4 linked regions of the Drosophila melanogaster genome follow. The protein of the gene in region 1 interacts with the protein of each later gene in a pairwise test. Each region holds a gene or a part of one and is shown on either strand. Other genes may lie near its edges. The genes, in order: CG15728, nuf, step and otp.

Evidence for each region.
Region 2: the proteins of CG15728 (region 1) and nuf interact in a two-hybrid assay, tested with the Drosophila melanogaster proteins (one large-scale study listed by BioGRID).
Region 3: the proteins of CG15728 (region 1) and step interact in a two-hybrid assay, tested with the Drosophila melanogaster proteins (one large-scale study listed by BioGRID).
Region 4: the proteins of CG15728 (region 1) and otp interact in a two-hybrid assay, tested with the Drosophila melanogaster proteins (one large-scale study listed by BioGRID).

What each region holds. Positions count from the first base shown.
Region 1 is NC_004354.4:12,622,455-12,628,979, reverse strand, and holds CG15728 (uncharacterized protein), read right to left. Parts: upstream 4,689-6,525; 5' UTR 4,549-4,688; intron 1,888-4,548; exon of another isoform or gene 1,836-1,887; intron 1,765-1,835; 5' UTR 1,748-1,764; coding exon 1,616-1,747; intron 1,560-1,615; coding exon 1,368-1,559; intron 1,304-1,367; coding exon 731-1,303; 3' UTR 535-730; downstream 1-534. Other genes in the region: Aven (apoptosis and caspase activation inhibitor), read left to right, coding at 1-425.
Region 2 is NT_037436.4:14,217,917-14,222,786, forward strand, and holds the start of nuf (nuclear fallout), read left to right. Parts: upstream 1-1,825; 5' UTR 1,826-2,020; intron 2,021-3,523; exon of another isoform or gene 3,524-3,584; intron 3,585-4,870. Other genes in the region: CG7768 (uncharacterized protein), read left to right, coding at 467-961.
Region 3 is NT_033779.5:21,754,466-21,759,423, reverse strand, and holds the start of step (steppke), read left to right. Parts: upstream 1-1,957; 5' UTR 1,958-2,181; coding exon of another isoform or gene 2,182-2,260; intron 2,261-2,796; coding exon of another isoform or gene 2,797-2,870; intron 2,871-4,958. Other genes in the region: CG1416 (uncharacterized protein), read right to left, coding at 58-193, 346-982, 1,065-1,212.
Region 4 is NT_033778.4:20,900,392-20,904,968, reverse strand, and holds the start of otp (orthopedia), read left to right. Parts: upstream 1-1,554; 5' UTR 1,555-2,183; intron 2,184-2,675; 5' UTR 2,676-2,910; coding exon 2,911-2,941; intron 2,942-4,577. UniProt on the Drosophila melanogaster protein: May be involved in the development of the central nervous system.

The sequences.
Region 1 (6,525 bases):
ACTTCACCCTGAACCTCACCCGCCTAAATGTGGGTCTGCAAACGATTCCGTTATACAAGCGTATGGATTATCCGGCGTCTTTGTTCACCCGCGCTCAGATTGCCGCCCAAGAGAAGGCCGCCGAACGGGCTGAGGCAGTTTACCAGCAGTGCATTCTGAAGGACGCCAATGGGGGCGCCAAGTCGCGAGCTCCCTCTGCTAAGTCCAATAAGGACGTTGCCCCTGCAGCGGCGGAAAAACCAATTGCTGCCTCAGCAGCTGAACCTGATGAACTTGACGAGCTATTGGCCATGACCGATACGCAACTGGATATAGGCTCTGGAACCATTACGATGCCAATGCCTATGGTGCAGCCGGCCACACCCTCATCGGCAGCAAGCAAAAACGGTGTGGAGGAATGGCTGGATTCCGTTTTGGATGAATAGTTACATAGTTCAGGAGGACTATTACCAGAGCTTTTTACGCTTACACGAAATATTCAAATCACTAAGTGCTTGCATTTTTAGAAGTAGCATCATTAAAATTGCAAAATCTAGAGTTTTCCTCGTAACTTTATAGTTAAAGCTAGAGCCTTTTTATTGTGTATAATAAAATCGTTGATTGCATATATATACGATGCGATTGTTTCTTGAAATAAGTTTCAAAGGTTAGGTTAAGTTATTGAAGATTTCAATTCTCTTCTCATCAAAGTATCTGAATTTATAACAGATTTCTTTGTTTCCGTTCGCTATTACTTACATTGTGGTCCACTTTTGCCTTGGTAACACTTAACCAAATGGCCATGCAAGAGCTGCATAAGCTCACATATGGACTCCAAAAGCACCAGGCGCTCATGCAGATGCCCCAAATCGTTGTTCTCCACCATCAGCGGACGCAGCTCATCAACGATCGCGATTAGCCAGCGAACTAATATCGAACAATCGTCCCTGGCCAGTTTCATATAATCCTCCGGCACATCGGTCTCCTGGCACAGTTGCTGGCCCTGGGCATTGAATGGTCCGATCAGCAGGATGCTGGATATCAAACGGACCACCAGGTGCAGGGAATGCAAATAGGATATTACATAAATATGCGGCTTCACCACGGCAACGACGAGCAGCAGTGTGTTAGCCGGACGCAATCGGTGCAAGTCCAGGCCCAAGTCCGACATATGATCCAACATGGCCCAGAGCAGACAGTTAGCCACAACGCTGGCCATTGTGCACAGCGGACTGGCCACGCGGCAGCCGAGGATCAGGTTGAGCATTGTGCTCGAACTCTGGATATCCAAGAGACCCAGGACATGGACGCATACCTGGTGGATCTGTTGGGCAAAGAAAGGGAAGGATCAAAAAATATATATTTCAAACATATATATGCTTACTCACATGGCTTTCCTCGGAGCATGCCATATAATTGAAGCACTTTTGCAGGAAAAGAGTTCTTTTCACCTGGGTGGCCGACGTGTCCTCATGATGGAGTAGATAAACCATCAAACCGCATACATACACCGCAGCCAGTTTATCTGCTCCGAATTGGATCCCCTCCTGGTTGAGCAGTTCATCAAAACCAGATATAATCTAACGGAACATGTGAATAAATTAGATAATGTGATTATGATATGAATATGGATCACCTCCAGAATATTGCCGGTGGCATAAATAAAGTAGCATTGTTCCCGAATCGCCGATCGACTCATAGTCTGACGCAGCTCTTCCAAACTGAATCCCTGGGGTCGCACCATGTGGCTCATGTTGTATTCTGCCATTTTATCTGAGGAAAAAGCTGGAAAAAGGGAGTTATGCATTACTTTTGAACAGGGAAAAGGCGCCTTCAAGGATTTGCTGCTGCTTCACCTTCTCCTCCTCCTTCTACAAATTAGTGACTGAAAGATATGATGTGTGCAAATAGCCAACGCTATTTTAATGAGCTCCACAACATTTTGACATGTTTTTCAAACACACTTGGCTGCCATCTTGGCCAAGCCGAGTACAGTGAAATCAGCAAGTGGGTACTTTTAATTGAAAAGTCTAGGAATTAACTATGAAGCTTTTGATTTGAATTCATGAACCTTGAACCTATGTACATCTTCCATGATTTAAAATTAATTTTTTGTAATAATATATTAAAATATTATAATTATATAGTTATGTTCATTTTTAGACAAAATACACTTTTGTGTTGAACTTCTAGTTGAATCGCATAAAATTGAAGGACTTAGAGGAGTCGCTGCTATCGGACGCTTACTGTAGTTATGATTTTTCCTGCCTGTGTGTGTGCCCGCCTTTGTTTGTGTGTATTTGTGCTTGTCCTTGCACTGCTTTCGAAAAGGCTGGCAAAATGCAAATGCACGCGCGATGTGCGCATTTTAGCATAAAAGTCACCTGGCCTCCGTTTCCGACTCCCACTTTTCCACCTGCCACGCCCATCGCCGCTTCAAGTTTCTTGCACACTTGGCGAATATCTGCTCATTATGCATTCATATTTCATATTTCGCAATTACTTGCTTTCACACACACACACACGCACGCAAACGAACTGGCGGTAAAAAGCGCAAGAGGTGCAAGCAAGATGGCCATAACAGCAGGAAACCGTTAAGTTTCTGTGTGTGTGTGTGTGTTTGTGCGTCCTTTGCTTGGTCTTTTCTTTCTGCTCTTCTGCTTTTTTATCGCCCCCTTTATTTTTTTGGGGCATTTTTTGCACAGATTCCTATTGAAATTTCCATATTCACATTTTAATTATGCGTCGGCATGAAAAGATTAACAACTTTTTTGCAATCTCTCTGTGTGTGTGTGTGTGTGTGTTATGCTCTCCTTTTTGTTTTTAATTATGCACATGTATTTGTTGATCAAATTTAAATGGCAAAGGGGTAGGCAACATATAACCCTCTCTTTCTGAACTGCTTGCAAACATAACCTCAATTTAGCTGCCACTGCTTGCGAAGCGATTGTATGCTAATCAACTGGGAACATCTATAGCATAATATGATCTATTATATCAGCGTCCAGCTAAAAATCTACGTCAAGTGTAAAAACCCAAGAATCCCCCTCTATTAAACGCAACAAAAGTGCTCAATTAGCGAGGGTTGTTCAGCAAGTTGAACGGGAAACGCAGACCAGGCCAATTACAGTCAAACATCCGTAAGTGGAAAAGATGCTTACATTTTTATTTTACTACAAGATTGAAAAGATGTTTACATTTTCCATTTGAGTATTTTTGCTCATCATAAGAAAAATTTTACTGTAGTTATTTATCTTACTTAAAAAAAAAAATGACAAGACTGGTATTATTATTTATGGAACCATCATTTGGAGGTTCAACTGTGCTAATAGATACTAACAATCATATCCGGTTCCCGTCGGATGGCGATGATAATAATAATCAAGATGGTGATGACAAGTGGCAAGTAGCTACCCTTTAATTTTTGAGGGTGGACCGAACTGATGAGCCGCTTGTGTGCGCTGTTTGTTGTAACCAATCTGTGCATTTTACGCCTAATTTAAGGCAAATTGTCCACCCCACTTGTCTCAACACTTTTGCAACCGAAAACCCTCCCCCATCCAACTAACTTTTTCATTTTTCGGTCTTCGAGGCCGCGGGGCCTGACAAAAGCCAACAGATTTTCATGTCATTATTTACTGATTTGTGGCATTTGAAAGGGAATCGGTTTTCGGGCTTAGGATTTGCGTTCTGTAACCACCCAGCGAACTTTTTGTTTACTAATGAAGTTGTTGTTTACACAATTGGAAAGTATGATGTATGTATACAAATGATAGCCACAGTGCAAGTGGAATCCAAACCGTTCCACCCACCAATTATCACGAAATGTCATCTGAGAATTAGCCACTTTTGCAAGACGCGACATAAGAAATCGAATAGACCCTTGCAAAGAAAATAAGTCTAATATTTCTGTCGGCCCTGATGATACTAAGCGAATTTCTTTCGGTAAGGTAAACATATTGATTTTCTATTAATTATATGCGTTGTGTAACTAGAAACAGTTTTAAAGAATTTGCAAGATGGGGGTAATGAAGAAAAAGTGCCCAAGTAATAAAGAATTTCATGTTTTACAGAGTTTCCTGTATGTATGTATATGTAAGTGCTGTGGCCAACTTTAACCTTTATTTAAACAGCTTAGGACTATTTTTGACCTTAAGATCAATATGCTCTAATAACTATATCATTAGCAATAAAAAAAAGATATACATAAATTTCCAAATATATAGATATAGATAGTTCTAGGAGCTTAGGAGCGTGAAAGAGAGTGATGACCTGGAAATTGCACCAAAGAAAAACTCAAAAAAGAAAGCTTTGGGATCTTTTTGATCAGTGCCAGAAGTTCAAGCGAATCCTTGAGATCAATATGCTCCTGGTGGGCACAAGCGAGAATGCTTTGAGATTCACTATATCATTAGCAATCAAACGAAAAGATACAAAAATTCTAAAATATCTAGATGCAGTTCGAGGAGCTCAGGAGTCTCATAAAGTTCATCCCCATGGATGGGGATCTCAAAGTTTATATACAAAAGGGGCAGGAATCGTAATGAATGTAATTAAAACTGGACATACCTGTACGTTTTGTATGAAATGTTTAGCTTGGCGGAAGAATACTTCACTTGTACAATGAAATTACTTCTCACTTCCTCGTCAATTATTAGCAAATTATCAAGGAGCTCACTAATATTTCAATGGGTATCTTTTTTATTCCGCTGACCACTATTCGCTTTTGCAACAAATTGCAACTGATCGATGGAAAGCCATAGTCAGTGGCTTTCCCTTAGCCATGGACTCTTAGCCAGAGGCAACCTGTATGGCTCAGTCGGGGTTCGAGGCTGAGACTGTGAGACGATTCGATTCGATTCGATCCGATTCGATTCAATCCACAGGTTCGATGGCCGCACAATGGGACACAATGCGGCAATTAGGCATAAAGATGCCAGATTTGAAATAAGCAAGTGTGGCACGGCCCGCGGCACAAACACAATTTCGGACGATTTTCCAAGCGGATAATGACAAACATTTTTAATCACAAAAACGAGACGAGAAACCACCACCGCCAATTGCAGTGGACGGGGGAAAACACAAATTTTCACACAATATGGCAAACATCTCGCAGCCATCCTCCAACCGGAAGTCAAGTGTGTCGAGTCCTTTTGCCCTGCCCATCCATGATGACATAATCGCCCCTCAACACAATCATTATGTCGAGAATTGCTGTTGCGGTTTCTCCGAACTTCACTTCTATTTTTTTTCCTTTATTTTTATATACATGCATATATATATATTTTTGTTTCTGCCCCGCGGATGGGCCACAGCAGGCTGGAATTTAAATTGAAATTGGTATATAATGGCAGGGAGTAACTGACAGTTCCTCCCCTGTGAGTAAAGTGAGTACATTCATGGCCAAAGTCAAGTGCCTTCTGTGGTAACTTTATTATTTTACAATACTTATGCGGCCCAAAACAATCATTACTTTAACAAGTCCAATTTGTTTAGATCTCAAGAATATTTATGTTGTATTTCTGACACCTTGCTATTTATTTACTTATTTATATATATATATATAATATAATTTTATGTTACGTGGGCTGCTTACCATTTTAAATGTATGAAGTAACAGAGGCAACAAATGTAAGATGGAAAGATGGAATTTGGAATTTGGAAATATAATTTAGATTTAGATTTGCTAATAGTTTTGGCTAGTCTTGAAGTTCTCGCGCCTCTTTAGTCGGCCAAACCCAAATTCATAATCACAGGCAAAAGTGCGCAGAAAAGTATGCTACACTTTTGGCACTAGCATTTTCTGTTGTTTTTTTTTCAAAGCTGCAAATTGTACGAACTCTTTAGTTTCGTAGTTTTCAGCCTGAATGCGAGCAAAAGCCGAAAAACTTTTCCCCACTCTCCCGGCTTTATTCCTTTTTTTTTTTAGTTGCAAAGTTCTCCAACGCCGAGAGCTTAATGCAATTAATAACTCATTAAATAAATACAAATCAAATTGAATGATGGCCAGCTCAAAGGAGAAGGGCTGGTGGAGCAGGAGGTGCCTTTGTGCTCAAAGGATGGCTGCGTAAAATGTACCAATTAAAAATGCCATTCAAATCTCAATGGCTGCGCAAATGAACCGCATGAATGTGAGAATTTGCGGTATCAAAAAAAAAAAAAAAAAACGCGAAGGAAACCGGTGAAAGAATCATCCATCATCTATCTGTATCTGCAAGTGGCTGGCATGATGGGGGTTAGCAGATGCATTTTATTCATTAGATTACATTCACATTTCATAGACGATTTCATGGCAACGTTAACTTGCTTGCCATCCCATTCGCCTTTGCCTTTCATTCGCATTTCAGCCATTTTTCCCGCATTTTTTCGCATTGCCCGCCTCGCTTCTTTGGCTTTTCCGTTTTGTTTCCGGTGGCTCCCATCAAGTATCTTTTTAATTAGCGTTCTGTGCCGCTCTGCACCACTTGAAAACTACTACCCGTTCCACGTCGTCTGCCCCTATATCATCATGCCATATCCTCGTTGGGTTGGCTTGGGTTGGGTTGG
Region 2 (4,870 bases), on another chromosome or scaffold:
GGTAAATATAGCCGGCTTTAAAAGTATCTGTGAGTTTTGCGTTGATTAAGGCGGCGGTTAAACAAATTAGAAGAGTAAATAAGGTCTGTAAGATTAGACACGGATAAAGGTATTTTAAGGACAATATTACCTTAAAATATCCAAATATACCGATCATTTGCAATGTATTAAAAATTGTGGAAGCCAAAGCAGGCATTTTTTTTTGCTACTGGATTTTATAAAGAAGGCTGTGAAATGAATTTCAACGAGCCCTTACTTCAGATCCCTGACTAGCCCAGAATATTCGTCAGTTCAGTTCCAGCTGTTCTACTGTACGGTTCTCTTGAAAGTCGTTACTTTTTTTTATCATAAAGCTGACACCACCAAGTTATCCGGTAAATATATTTCTTGTTTTTGAACAAGGCATCGTTCGATTTTAAACCTAATAGATCTGGCTTTTCTCCGAAAATTTTCGGCATCTGCGAAGATGTCGTTGCCACGCGTTTACTTCGATATAGCCGCAGGAGGTGAGAAGTTAGGTAGAATTGTGATGGAACTACGTTCGGATGTGGTGCCCAAGACGGCGGAGAATTTCCGGGCCCTCTGCACCGGAGAGAAGGGGTACGGCTACAAGGGATCACCATTCCACCGCGTCATCCCGAATTTCATGTGTCAGGGCGGTGATTTCACTAATCAAAACGGAACTGGAGGACGCTCCATTTATGGAAACAAGTTTCCCGATGAGAATTTCGAGCTAAAGCATACCGGAGCTGGTGTACTTTCGATGGCCAATGCTGGGGCCAATACCAATGGATCTCAGTTTTTCATTTGCACCGGGAAAACCACATGGCTGGATAATAAGCATGTCGTGTTCGGCAAGGTCGTTGAGGGAATGGATATCGTCCAGAAGGTAGAATCTTACGGTTCACAAGATGGGAAGACCAGCAAGAAAGTAATTATCGAAGACTGCGGAGCCCTCTGAAGGGTGTCAATACATAATAGTGCTGTCAATCACACATTTACACTATTACACTGAAATTATACTTTTCAAGAAAACTTTGCAAAATAAAAGGGGGTGCAAAAAAATGTATTTTGTCGGTTCAACTATTTACATCGCTCTCATATGTTACGCATTTCAGACCAATTCGTTGAATAATCCGGTGCACCCTGAACAGCCCAGTTCCCTGACTCATTTTCCTTTGATTTTTCTTTCCATTACTTTTAATTGACTCAATTTAGTTCAAGAGTTGCTCACATATGTCGCTTTTGATTCTTTCCACTCGATTCTCATTCTGTCTCCCATCACCTTTCCCTCAAGCCATTCTATCCACTTTACCCGAATGCACTTTGCAAATGTCTATTAAGTCACATACACTGATGAAAAAAAAGAATTAACCACCAGTAATACATATGTATATGTTTGGTAAAGTGCACTTTACTAAATACATTCAAAAACTCAAATTGAATCCATTATTTTTTAAATATATTCTGCAATATAAGTTTTGTTTAAACAAATATTATATTTGGAAGTTAGTATTTCTTTTCAAACCTAAAAACACCTGGCTAACTATGTTATACAATGTGTATATGTGTATGTGCATATAAGCCACTCAGCAAACAAAATTTTCTTTTCTCAAGTGCATGTAATACGAATTTCCAACACTGCTAAGTCACATTAGTGGAATTTTTCTATTGCGTTCGTTTTGCTTTGGGGCTCTGTTTTTTTGTATTTCTTTTCGTTATTTTTTCGGGCACCCAAAACAAGTCGCGGCTTCTGCCGACGTCGACCGAGGCAGCGGCAGAGGAGGGGCCGCGACTTGGCGCTGGCTTTTCAGCGCTTTCCTCTCTCAGATTGCATTTAACGCTTGCCGCGTTCACAACACTAGAAAAGCGGAGCAGCGCATCGAACGGTCGCCCTGTCTCTCACTCTCTCGCGCTCTCTCGCGCGGGTGTTTTGTTGTTGGGCAATGCAATTGCCAAGGAAAAGGAAAATGCAGCTGCTGCTGCTGCTCTCCTAAGCAAAATAGCCAAATTAAAAAAGGTTCGAAATTCGAGAAAATTAACCCAAAGTTACCTCAATTCGTGTGTTTTTTGTGTGTTACCTATTATCGATCGAATTCGCTTATCAGCTGTGTCAGGTGCCTTTGGCTCATTAACCGCTTATTTAAGGAAAAATGTGAAATCAAAACAAATTCGTTAATGACAGGGTCTGTTGTGAAAACCCGTAATCAAAGTAGCCTTGTTCGGCTCATGTTTCTAATTTTCATACCCTCTGGCAAATATATTGGTTGATTGATCTTAAATTGAAAAGTGCGGTTGAATCAGTTTGCCAAGTGTTTTATCGAAACATAAAAAATGGAAATCAAGTGTGGCATAAAATTGATAAATGATACAATAAATGGGACAAAATGAAAGAAAAAATAAAATAGCTTTAAACAATTCAAAGCAATTCTTCGTTATGGGGCGTTAAAAGTTGAAAAAACACTGACGGTAATTGATGAAGTAAAACGAAGAAAGATAAGGTGATCAAATTTGCAAAACCGGCACAATGTAAATTAATTGTGCTTTTTGTGTTGATTTTTTTTATTATTAATGGAGACAAGTTTAAGTATTTTCTTAAAAAGTTTAGTAAACTTAGGAAGATGAAAAAAAAAAAATAATATTGCCTCTTTAAAAATCAAGTCTTGTTTTCATTGCTTTCGGCAGTTTCTACATTCAAAGGGAATTAAATAAATCAAGGGCTTCCACCGAGAATAACGCATAGCAGTTCCAAGTTCATTCATTATACATAACTCGTACTTCTTAATTTCTTTTACTAGGCATTTTCCGTACCGTTAAGTTTGGTAGGAAAATATTCTTTCATTAGCGATGGTTCGTCAATTAGTAGGCATATAAATCTAACGGCACAGTGCCCTAACAGCACAGAAGACAACTAACCGGAACTGAAAACTAGCACTAAAAACCAATAAGTAAAAGGCCTAAGGTAGCCGCAATAACAAAAGAACGGAAAAGACCCTCTGATGACATCAACAAAAAGGGGGTGTACGAAAGAGATGGGACGAAATGGATGGAGATTACCATCCAATCCCGCATGCGTCCCGTTACTCTTGCTTTTCGGTTCGTGTCCACGCTTATTCACTTGCGCTTTTATTTAGTAATGAGTAAAACATATACATACATACGTATGTATGCATATATGAACATATGATGGGAGGCATTTTGGGAGCGGTTGGCTTGGGGTGACCGTATATAAATTCCACATAATTATGCGCTGTCCCTGACTCAAAAACCATATGTTCAAAATAAAGGAGGCGGGCGGATTCGGCGAGAGAATCACCCTCGGACATATGGCGAAAAACTTTTCCTTTGGGGGATCGGATCGCTCTCTTTCTTCGGTCCCTTGTCATTGCTCTTGTTTGTTGATTATTATTTTTTCCTATTTATAAAGATTGCGCCTCCCCAAATTCGCTCTCCCAGTCTCTCATTTTTCTCTCTATCGCTGGCGACTGCCTCGGTTTATTTTGCCCCTGAATTTCTGGTTCATTCAGTTTGCTTTTCGCGTTTCGCGTGCTTTAATCGAAATTTGTTTTTCTCCCTCGATTGTGGTTGTAATAAAATACATAATACACCATTTTAAATAATCGAAAAAATTAGCTATTCACTTTTAAAATTGAAAAATATTTGTGAGATCGCGGCACAGATTATTGAAGATCATAAAATCGGCAGGAAAATTAAAAATATTTTAAAGGATTGCATCATTAGTTTTTGGTTCTTTTAAGCAAAAGCTTTCAAGAAAGTTATAGAATACATAATAGTACATTAAAAATAATCAATGACAATTTTTTTTCAAGTTCTTATGTATATGATTCCCATATAATTGATGCAAAGTCTTTAAATATACATTTGTTTGAAATCATGAATATTTTATGTGGTACTCAGCATTCCTGATCCAATTTCGGCTAATCATTGTATATTTTACAACCTTTTTGTTGTAACTTGTTCACTTCACTTTGTTGCATGAAAAGTGCACAGCAGCGAAGTAAAATTTGCATTTAATGAGCTCCCCTCGTTCGACTCATCCCCATTTTCACCCCTTCCTTCGTCGACCATTGTATGCAAATCTTTGTGGAATTCAATTTTGCTGAAGAGTAGCTAATGATAATTTTCTATTATGCTGTTTTTGATTGCCTGACATGGGCGAGGAAAAAATGGTTGAAGAGATATGATAATCCAAAAATATTCAGCTGACAAGAAAGGAAAGTTTACTTCATTAGCAAATTAGTTTTAGTTGAATTGAAATCAGATTATTCGGTTACTTACTGTACTTGTATTGAAGGAATTGGATTGTATTTTGATAAGGGTTTCCAAATCATTTGTAATAAAGTTGTATTTTATTTATTTGAATGCTTATTTCGTAAATCAACTTGGAATCATTCAAAGCAAATAAAGTTCTTTAAAAAGTAAAATCTTTATCAGTCATGCCCTGCTTTTAATTGGCCCTCATATTGACCTTTATTTAAATTTGTATGTGATAACGTGAAAATGAAGCTTTGACAAGGGCACCTTAACTATACACGTCGCCGAACGATTTGATAAGACTAAGAATGATTCAGTTTACTAGACTACAAAAGTAAACAGCACGCCACAAATTCCAAGTAAAAGAAAAGCAAACTTAGCCAGCCATTGCATTTTCTGGTAATTAGAAACTAGGCGGGAATTCAAAACCTGAGGAACAAAATAACAATGAAAATAGGGAGAGGTTGGAAAATAGCTGTACGACGAGGATATGTAAAATTGTCTAGAATTCTGCTCAAAGTCTGAACAAAATAATTTTACGGTCTGTTGGTTCTAAAAAAAAAAGAAGAAGTAAAGAGAGGGTTGGCTTATATAA
Region 3 (4,958 bases), on another chromosome or scaffold:
GTCAATTTAAAAAAATAAATAATAATATATCTAGTTTTCGTTGTCCTAGTAACTTACAGTTTCTTCCAGCTCTATGACAACGTTTGAGTAGTGACCAGATGTCCAGTTTTTCAGACGCCAGCTCTGCTGTATTTTTTTTTCAGGGACGAGCTCTTCGAATTTTCCGAGCACATTGCCTCCGTAAAGAATAAATCTACAATAAAAGACAAAAGATTACTTACCATAAAGAAGTGAAGACAAGGGCGAGGGGCGAAATTTATGGTTATTCATAACAAGATTACTAAATGACGACACAAACGGTCCTGATGTGATGGTAAAATAAAACGACCAGGGACAAAAACTTACTCTCCACCGCGCACGGCATCTACTTTGGCAGGTGCCCTCGTAAAGGCAGTGACCATTTCTGGCTTTGTGAGAGCGTTGTAAAGGTCATTGGCGCTGCAGTGAAATTCTTCGGTCATCGAGAGAGTGCGAACGTCCAGTTTACAGCCGATGCCAGAGTTCTTCAGCCTAGGAGCCGCCACCGAGGAGTTTAAAGCGATATTTTGGGCTGCATTACGGGTATTGTTGGCATCCTTAAAATTCGCCACAGTATTTCCCGCTCCGGCCTCGTCGCCCTTCTTTGGTAGGATAAGGTTCTTGGAGTACTCCTCCTTCAACTCTCGGATGTAGGAAGCCAGTTGCTGCCGCACGCGGTCTCGTCCCACGTTGTACATGAACTGTTTCAGGGTCTCCGACTCGTCGTTGGACTCGTCGATTGTCACCGTGATCTCTACGTCGGCTAGTTCGTTCTCCTCGGAGAGATTGGGAATGGTTAACTTGCCCTTGTGGATCAGCTTGCTGTTCTTTAGGAGCTTTCCAGACCACTTGAGCACCAGCTCCCACTCGTAGAAAAATATGAGCTTGCCCTTGCGATTGTTCACGGTGGCCTCCCCGGAGCATTTGTCCACGGAGTCCACGGCACACTCAATGTCGCTTTGCCCTGCGTTTTGAGAAGTTTACTTTTAGGTTAGGATATACCTAAAATGTATGTTCTACACTACTACAAATTCTTATATACTCGCCTATTTTGAAATCCTGAAAAAGCTGATGCAGGCGGTCCTTGGACCATGGCGTGGCGTTCTTTTCCGTCCAGTGCCAGTTGTTCACGTTGGTGGCGTCGGGCCGCTCCTCCACAATCCAGCGCGGATCTCCTTCTCCCCACTTGGCCATCGCTTTCTTACTGTAGAATTGTATGAAACTGTCTTCAATTTTATGAAAAGATGGAAGATGTTGGTTTACTTTTGATCCGGCAGTCTTAGCTTAAACTAATTCGGACAATTACTATGGCCAGCGAGTGGAATTTTCTAGAATTCTGCGGTTCAAAATAGGGATGTAAAAATTATCGATGCCAGTGCACACATATGTTGGCAGCGTTGCCACCAAGTCCGAGGTGTTTGTGCCGTTAAAAAAACGAAATGATGTGTAAATTTCCTGACGATATTTTAAATGGAGTTATGACGAAAGACGTATTCGTTCAGTGAATTTTTTAACAGATTTAAAATGGACAGTAAGTATTGGTGGTATTGTATTTTTTTATAACAAGGTTGTTTTAATGTTATATTTTTATGTACGTCCAAAACTTTAAGTTTATGTTTTTAACTTGTAACAAACAATTTTCGAAATGGTAATAGCCGATTCCCGCAAATCACACCATAATGGATGTAACAAAGTTGTTTTACAGCTTTTCAAGCTATTTGTCTTGAAATAGATAAGGTCTGCTCTAATCTCTGAAAAAGTGTACCCCTAAAAATATTTAATGTATTGTTGCAAGTAAATAATTAGCCCTAATTTTTTTAGTTCTACTGATTAAAAAGTTCTTACGTTTGGTTACAAGATGCAGTGGCATCAGGATATTTTAAAAGTGGCCACACAGAGCTCGCGTAACACCCAGCTTAAGTCAGCATGCACTTGTTATTTTTCAGTTGTTTACTCAACCGATAGCTGAATTCAGCACATCCCTAGTGGAGAGCTGAAAGAAAATGGCGATAGAATTTTTTTGGTGTTGATTTGTTTATTATCCGTTCGTCTTTGATTGTTCAATGAAAAGCCTTAAAAATTAGCCAACTGCTGGTGAAAAATGTACAACTAGAGTGTGTGTCGTGTGCGCGAGAGTGTGTGTAGTAGCTCAGTAGCTCCGCGATGATTAGCGCAATGGACAATTTCGACAACAGATCGTACGGTGCCATATCAAAGGGGCGCAGTGAATTCTCAATGCCAGGTAAACAGCAGATACTTTTGCTGGCCCGAAGGATATAGCCTAGCATGAACAGAATACGAATCTTTGTATTGATAAAATTTTATTAAGATCACAAATTGGGATACCCACAACTACAAAATAAGAGAAGCAACAAGCAACATTTGTATGTATAGACTTGTGTGCTAGGTGAAATGTTAGTGCACATATGTATGTATATTATGTACATATGTACATTGCGTTCTCGTTTTTGGCCTTCGTCAGAATTAAGTCCGAAGAGCTTTGGTAACGCTAATAAGCCAATTTGCACAATTAGCAATCCATTGTGGTTTCGACAAGTGAAAATTGTTTATCGGCCTAAGCTAGTGACGTAGCCTACAAGATGCTTTCATCGCATCGCAAACAGCTCGTGTATGCACGTGTGTATGTGTGTTGGGCGCGTGTGCCTGGAATGCTGCTCTGGTGTTTTTTATTTTTACTGTTGGTGTTGCGATACAATTTACAAAATGCCCAGAAACAAGTATATGAATTTATTATTGATTCGCATCTCGTTCTTGCAGAACTTACACCGGAGCAGCAAAAACTGCTGATTGAGCTGCGACGCAAGAAGCAGGAACTTTTACTCGAAATACAGGTAATTGACCATCAATATATACATACATTTTTAATTTTGGAAACAACGATTTAAGAACATATTCGTATACACTTGTAGTATACAGAAAAACAATTTCGTGATGTCTTTTTGTCTGGAGTTTTTGCCAGCTTCTTTTTAGGTGATTTGACAGAGAGGGAGCAAAGACACTAGACTTATTCCAGAGCCTTTGTAGGGAGGGCTTGACGGGCTCTGAATTTTTTTATATGAACGATTAATCTTAAAATATATAAATTTTAATAAACCGATAATAAAAATGATGGTAAAATTATTGTTGGTGCTAAGAATTAATTTAGCAAATAATCGAAAGTAAATATCCCAAAAAAAAATACAATAAAAACATTAAGAAGAGAGATAGTGGGCAAGAGAGTCGATTTTTATGTTGTTGAGTAGCATATGTGCATTTATATGTATTTATAAAATTTTATGAATACCTATAAGCCAGACCAATTTGGTTTTTTTTTCTACTTAGGTTGTTTTTTAACTCCTTAATGCGGGAAGATTTGTGATCTGGCGGCTAGTGGCAAGTTTAGCTATTTATGTTCGTGTTGCGATCGTGACTAGTTTTCACTTTGTTAAGACTTCTTTATGTTCAACAACTTTTTTAAAAGAAATATATATTTTAGTGCTCATATCATATCATACCTGAATACAATGACCATGGTTTTAACCCGCACGATCTACGATTGAAATAAAGCATTTGAAAATGAGTTGTTAAACGCCATATAGGCTTTCTCTGGTGTCTTTCTATAAAAAAAATCCAAAAATACTTGCTAGGATTTTAATATTTTTTGTGGTTAAAATTACCACTCACCAGCCCCATTACAAGTGATAATTTTGGTAGTGTATTTAAAGTCTTGTCAAGACATAATGTTTCAATTACCAAATCTGAATTTGAACTGAATTATTCACTCGAATTCCGAATATACAAATAAAATAAAAAGAAAATGTTTGTTCAGTCGAAACAAACTGTCCCTCCGGAATTCCCTCAGAATATTCAAGTCATCGCTCCTGTGACGATCGGTTCACCAGAATAGTAAAACTGCTGTCTTCCAACAGCGAACTGGAGATTTTTTCGCGTGCTGTAATTGTGGTTCTTCGAGTCGTGATCTAAAGTGAACGAATTTTTATTTATTGGATTTTTAACAATTGCCGTTTTGTCATTGTGCTGATATGTGCAAATGCTTGTATCGTTAGATTGTGAGAAAACGCAAAGGTGAGTGTGCTAAAAAGTCAATTATAAATTTGTGTGTGGTACGATACTACCAATTTAATTATCAATTGTTAAAATAAACGTTTGCTGAAATTAATAAAAATATTAATATTTTGCTAGTACAAGTCCTAGTTAAAGGGCTTTTATTTATTGATAACTTTAATTTAAAAAATGTATCTACCTTAATAATGTTGAACTACTTTTAGTGTAAGGATCATGTGTTGTTATCGGTCAAAATTTTCGTATGCACATCTGCACCGAAATGGAAATCTCATATTTTTTCTGATTCCCCCGAATTTCCGTTGCTTTTTTTTCCTAACTATCGGGCTTTATTATGTCTACCTGGATATGCAATTGACACATCGTCCCCTACCTTTCACTCTTCTGTTCCCCGACTACCTGGAGTTATAATTTTTAGCTCAGCGCAAAATTACCTATTTTTTTATAGAATTTATAGAATGGATATTTAAAACCAGACAGAAGAATAATAAAAGTATTTAAACCCCTTAATCGTAGAGTAAAAGGACATACTAAAGCAAGTATATTGTACTACATATATGTAAAGTATATACAACTGTGCATGTTTCAATGATATGTATATAGACATATATTTTAAAGAATTTATGCCATTAAAACTGGTTTTATCCCATTTAAAATAATTGGTATATTTGTAATCAAAGGCTTTAAACTAATGGATTGCAATGATATGTTTGGTGTTTACACTTTGAATGCGTCGTTTGTGTGCACAGAAATTTCGAAAGAAAAATACGCAAATGTCTTCTTCACTGCGTTGCGGTCTTCTGACTGAAATCAACAAAAATCACAATTCTGTATATTTTTTTTATGTTTATTATTGT
Region 4 (4,577 bases), on another chromosome or scaffold:
CTGTCCTGGTCACAGTCACTATCTGCTGCCCGGATTTGGCCAAAGTGATTTACGACATGCTCATGCCAGGCATTCAAAATGCGGTCTAATTGAGACTCCTTAGATGATTAATCCTTGGCTAATATGGCGAAATTCAACAAGTCTACGCCGCACATTTCCCATAAATTTATTTTTCTTTTTGCTGCCGATAACGCCTTTGATTAATTAACACACTCGAAGTTTTTTTATGTACCTCATGTGAGAAAAGGAAAAAAAATGAAAAGTGATGCATATGCTCTAATAAGTGAGCCCAACAACGAATTGAGATGTTATCACGATTTATTCGGCTTGTTTACTTTATAATACACTAACAGAAAAATTTCTGTTCGATGTTTTCGACATTTGTGTGGGATTGTTATAAGTATTTCACACGTTAGTATGCAAGTTTGTGAAATACAAGACTTAATAGGTTGTGTACAATTATCAATCTAAATTTATTACGCCACTTATTAAATTTTTTAAATTATTTTAGAACGTTTGTCACCCCGCACAAGTGTGAACCTTGAATTATGCTCATTGCAAAACAAACTACAACTGCTGCGATTTTTTGCATTCTTCTTGTGGTTTTAATTGCTACCTAGAGTTTTTAATTAACGCCCCCGATTTAGCTGTATGTATTTGTCGGAGGGAGAAGGCCAACATAATTTGCAGACTTTTGAGGGGCGGTGGGAGGACTTTGAACTGGGCGCAGGAAGTGGGGTGGAAATCCTTTGAATTGCGGTTGCCATGACAAACTCTTATTTCGCCCGGCATTCCGTTGTCTGGCTAATTCAACGTTTGTGCAGCATGCAAAATATTATAAAATTCCGCCAAATGTCGGAGGTACTTCCCCTCCAGCAAAAAGACGGGCAAAAAAAAAAAACGGAAACAAAAACTAATAAACGACAACAGGTGAGGCTGAAAGCTGACACGTGGCATCAACAACGCTGAGTAAGAATTCAAGGCGCATTTTTGGGAGGAGTGGACTTTCAGCAATAACTGTGGCCCAAGCGCCGGTTGCCAACGCGACCAGCTGTGGAGTATAGTTGAAGTTTTTCGAGGGGAATCGAGGTCTGTTTCGGCATCGATGATAGCCCGCCTATCGATAGGCGGCAGGACCTGTTATCGCCGAGGGCGCCAAAAAGTGCTATCGTTCGGGGCCACAAGCTCCCGAGTTCCCTCATTCGTTGGTCTGCATTGAGGGCGTGGTCTGGCCTACGCACAGCGAGTATAGCCGACCCGCTCTAGCAACCACTTGGCAGGGCAAGCGCGAACGAGTCAGCATGCTTGGCTCGACGGCAAGATGGCTGTGGGCTCAGCTAGCTGTCTCCTTTCCTCGCCCGCCCGGGGCACTGGCACGGTGTGTGCTCTTTGCGATTTTTGCAAATCAATGCGAGAGATAAGCCCGCTGGCAGAGATAACGCTTGACTTAACCGTCAATTGTGCGAGGGGGTGGCGATTGAATGCGGCGCCAGTGCGCAGTCGTTGTTGTCGAAGTTATCAGGTTTCGTAGTCAATTCGCTTTGATTTTTTCGCACTGCCCTCAAATGCAAGCGAGCAGCGCTACGTATACGGCGTACAGCTCCCATACGATACAATAGTGCGATCCGAAACAATTCGATCCGTTTCCGTTTGCTAGTGCCTAGAAAGCCGTCGCACTGGCAGAGACCATTAACCGAATTGATCTAACTGGGAAGTGCCAAGGAATAACTAAGTGAAAATGTGCCCGAAGTGTAAAAATGCTATCAATTAAACAGTAGAAAACAAGGACGAGTGACCACACCCGAAGGTGGAAGCAAGCCGTGTCCTCCGCCGGACAGTGTCCGGCTGTCAGTTGGTCAAACAGTTCATCAATAAACGATTCGACTTCCGTTTCATTGCGTGTCCCTAAGCTGTGCATGTCTGCGTGTCTGTGAGTGCGATTGTGTGTGTGTGCCAGCTGTGCGCGTGTGTGTGTGTGTGTGTGGGAGCTAAGGAAACTTTTCAACTTCCGGCCAAGTGACTTGGATTTAATTTCTTTGGCTTTTTTATGGTCAAGGCATTTAATTAATTTTACTATGGCAATTTGATCGTCTGCTGGCCTGAACTCTGACCCCAGCCCATAACCCTGTGGCATACACAAAAAGCAAGGAGGCGGAAAAAGGACGAGCGATAGGAGGAGCCAGGTGAGTCCTTGGCCAAATGAGCAATAAAACTCAATGCAAATGCCCACACAATCGAACTTCGGCAGAAGTTTCTGCGGTTAAGGAAAGTGAAACGGATTTAGTTTTCTGGTTAGTCGCACAATAGTTAAATTACCCAAATAGCTGGACATTTGACAGGGGTCAAAGTTCAAGAGAGGGCTGGGCCAAATATTCACAACACACGAGCAATTAGTATACTTAAATGTTTTGCCAAGACAAAAATCAAACATTCATTTATGATTCCAGAAATCTTGATACATTGTAAGCAGTTTTATTGCATATGATTGTATACTATAAACATAAACAAAAACTTTGCTAAACAAGTTAATGACCATTTTCTCTTGTCAATTTAAAAACTTTTAGTATTGAAAATTAACAAGTACTTCCAAAAAAGCACAAAGTCACCTATGTATGTTTATATTTGCGTTGAGCAGAAGCCACCCATCCAAAAATAACAAATCTGTTTACTTGCAGCCACACCCATTTCCACCGAACAATTGAGATGTAATTTGCACCGCAGGTGAACTTCAACTCCAACGTTCTGTGATAGACGAGTATACGAGCAGGAACTCCCATTGGGATTCCGCCACCACCAGTCGATATCGATTCCCGATTCAATCAAATTGGATCCCGAATCCTAACTTTCGGAGCAGCAATCAGAAACAGCGACAAACTGTCGACTCTGTCGATCCGCAATTTCTCGGCAAACATGCTGAACAATCTTGGGGCCAATGTGCTGGGTAAGTTACGCCCCCAATCCTCGATAGCGTTTTAAGTGCGGGCTGCGGGCGGGAGCTGCGTATAATGTTGCAATTAAGATCGCCAAGTGAATTGCGCTAATGTATAATAATGTGTGTATTAATCCATGGCATACGATCCGCCTGGCCATAATTAAACTAATTTCTTGAGCACACCCACAAAAGATCGGAGGGGTAGTTAGTCGTACTTCCGATCTGGCGATTGCCATCGCATCTCCCATGTCTGCTAAATGGCCTATAATTGAGACGTCTAACCAGATGGCGCCAGGTGTCGCGTGCATTTAGCAATAATTAAGTTGTGTATTTAACTAACTCGGCAAACCTTCTCCGATTCCCATTCCCATATGCCTATGCCCATTCCGAATCGAGTGTGGGTGGGTGTGTTTGTGTTAATTGATATAATTGCTCTTTTAAATATGCCGCAAATTGTGAATTACATTCACACATTCACCCGGCGCACGCACATAATTATCAAACTGTACTTGTGTCCTCATATTAATATATTAATAATTCCGAATACACATATGTACATATGTATGTGCGTGTGTGCAGGTGAATAAATTATTTTTACCACACTGTTGATCAACGATTCAAGCACTTTCAATTTTGGCAATCAATTTGTTGTTAGCCGTCCAACACTACCAGAAAATACAGTTTGCAAGTGCATTTGCAACTGCAACTGCAGCAGCCATGGATGAGTTATGGCTCGCGTTTATATTCAATTTTTATTGCCAGCATCCTTGCGTCCTTCGAAGCGTTGCCATTAATTACTTTTATTAATTTATTGCCATTTTTCACGCGCCAATTGTCGCCGCTCGGTGCACGCGGCGTATGCGTAATGTCCATAGTTGCCATTGAAGATGGGTGTTTAATTAAGGGCTAGCAAGCGAAACTGATCTGACGGTTTGCTATCTGCCATGGATTGCGACTGCCAAAGTTGGCTTTTAAAGTTTTCGCCGGCTTCAACTTTAGCCAGCTCCATTTGCCCACGAAGAACTATAAATTTCAATGAATCGCAGTGCGGAATCCTTTGGACAAATCCTGCCCGCAGTGCTGGAGTCTGCCATAATAAATTTCGTGAGCCTTTTTCCGAGTTTCGCACAACAGAGAGGCCAAAAAACATTTGCATACTGGGTGCGTGGCCGAGAGGGGCAAAAGTGGATGCCCCCCTAACCACCCCTTTACAATTAAGAGCAATTTGCATGCAAAAGAAATGGCAGAACTTTCCCCGGATTCGTATTGTCTCTCCCCTACTAATGCTTAATTTGCATGCAGCGAAAGGAGCTCGAATGGCGTTTCGTTTGGGCGCTTTTTTCGTGAGCCTCGCATTAATTAAATTAATTTCATGATTGCATTTGTAATTTGCACAGACCCCCTTCAGGTTTACCCCCACCCGTCCGTTGCATCCACGAAATATCTGCGCGTGCTTCGCTTTGTGCGTTCGGCATTTTTGCGGTGGCCTAGGCTAGTGAAATATGTGTGCTTAACCCCGCTGAACACCGCTTAACCCCCCACTGCCATATCCGCTTTGCATTGAAATGTTTTGCGGTTGCTGCGGATTCTGTTCCCAGTTGCGGTTAGTTGTTGGAGCAGCCCAGATTCCATGCCATGCCATGCC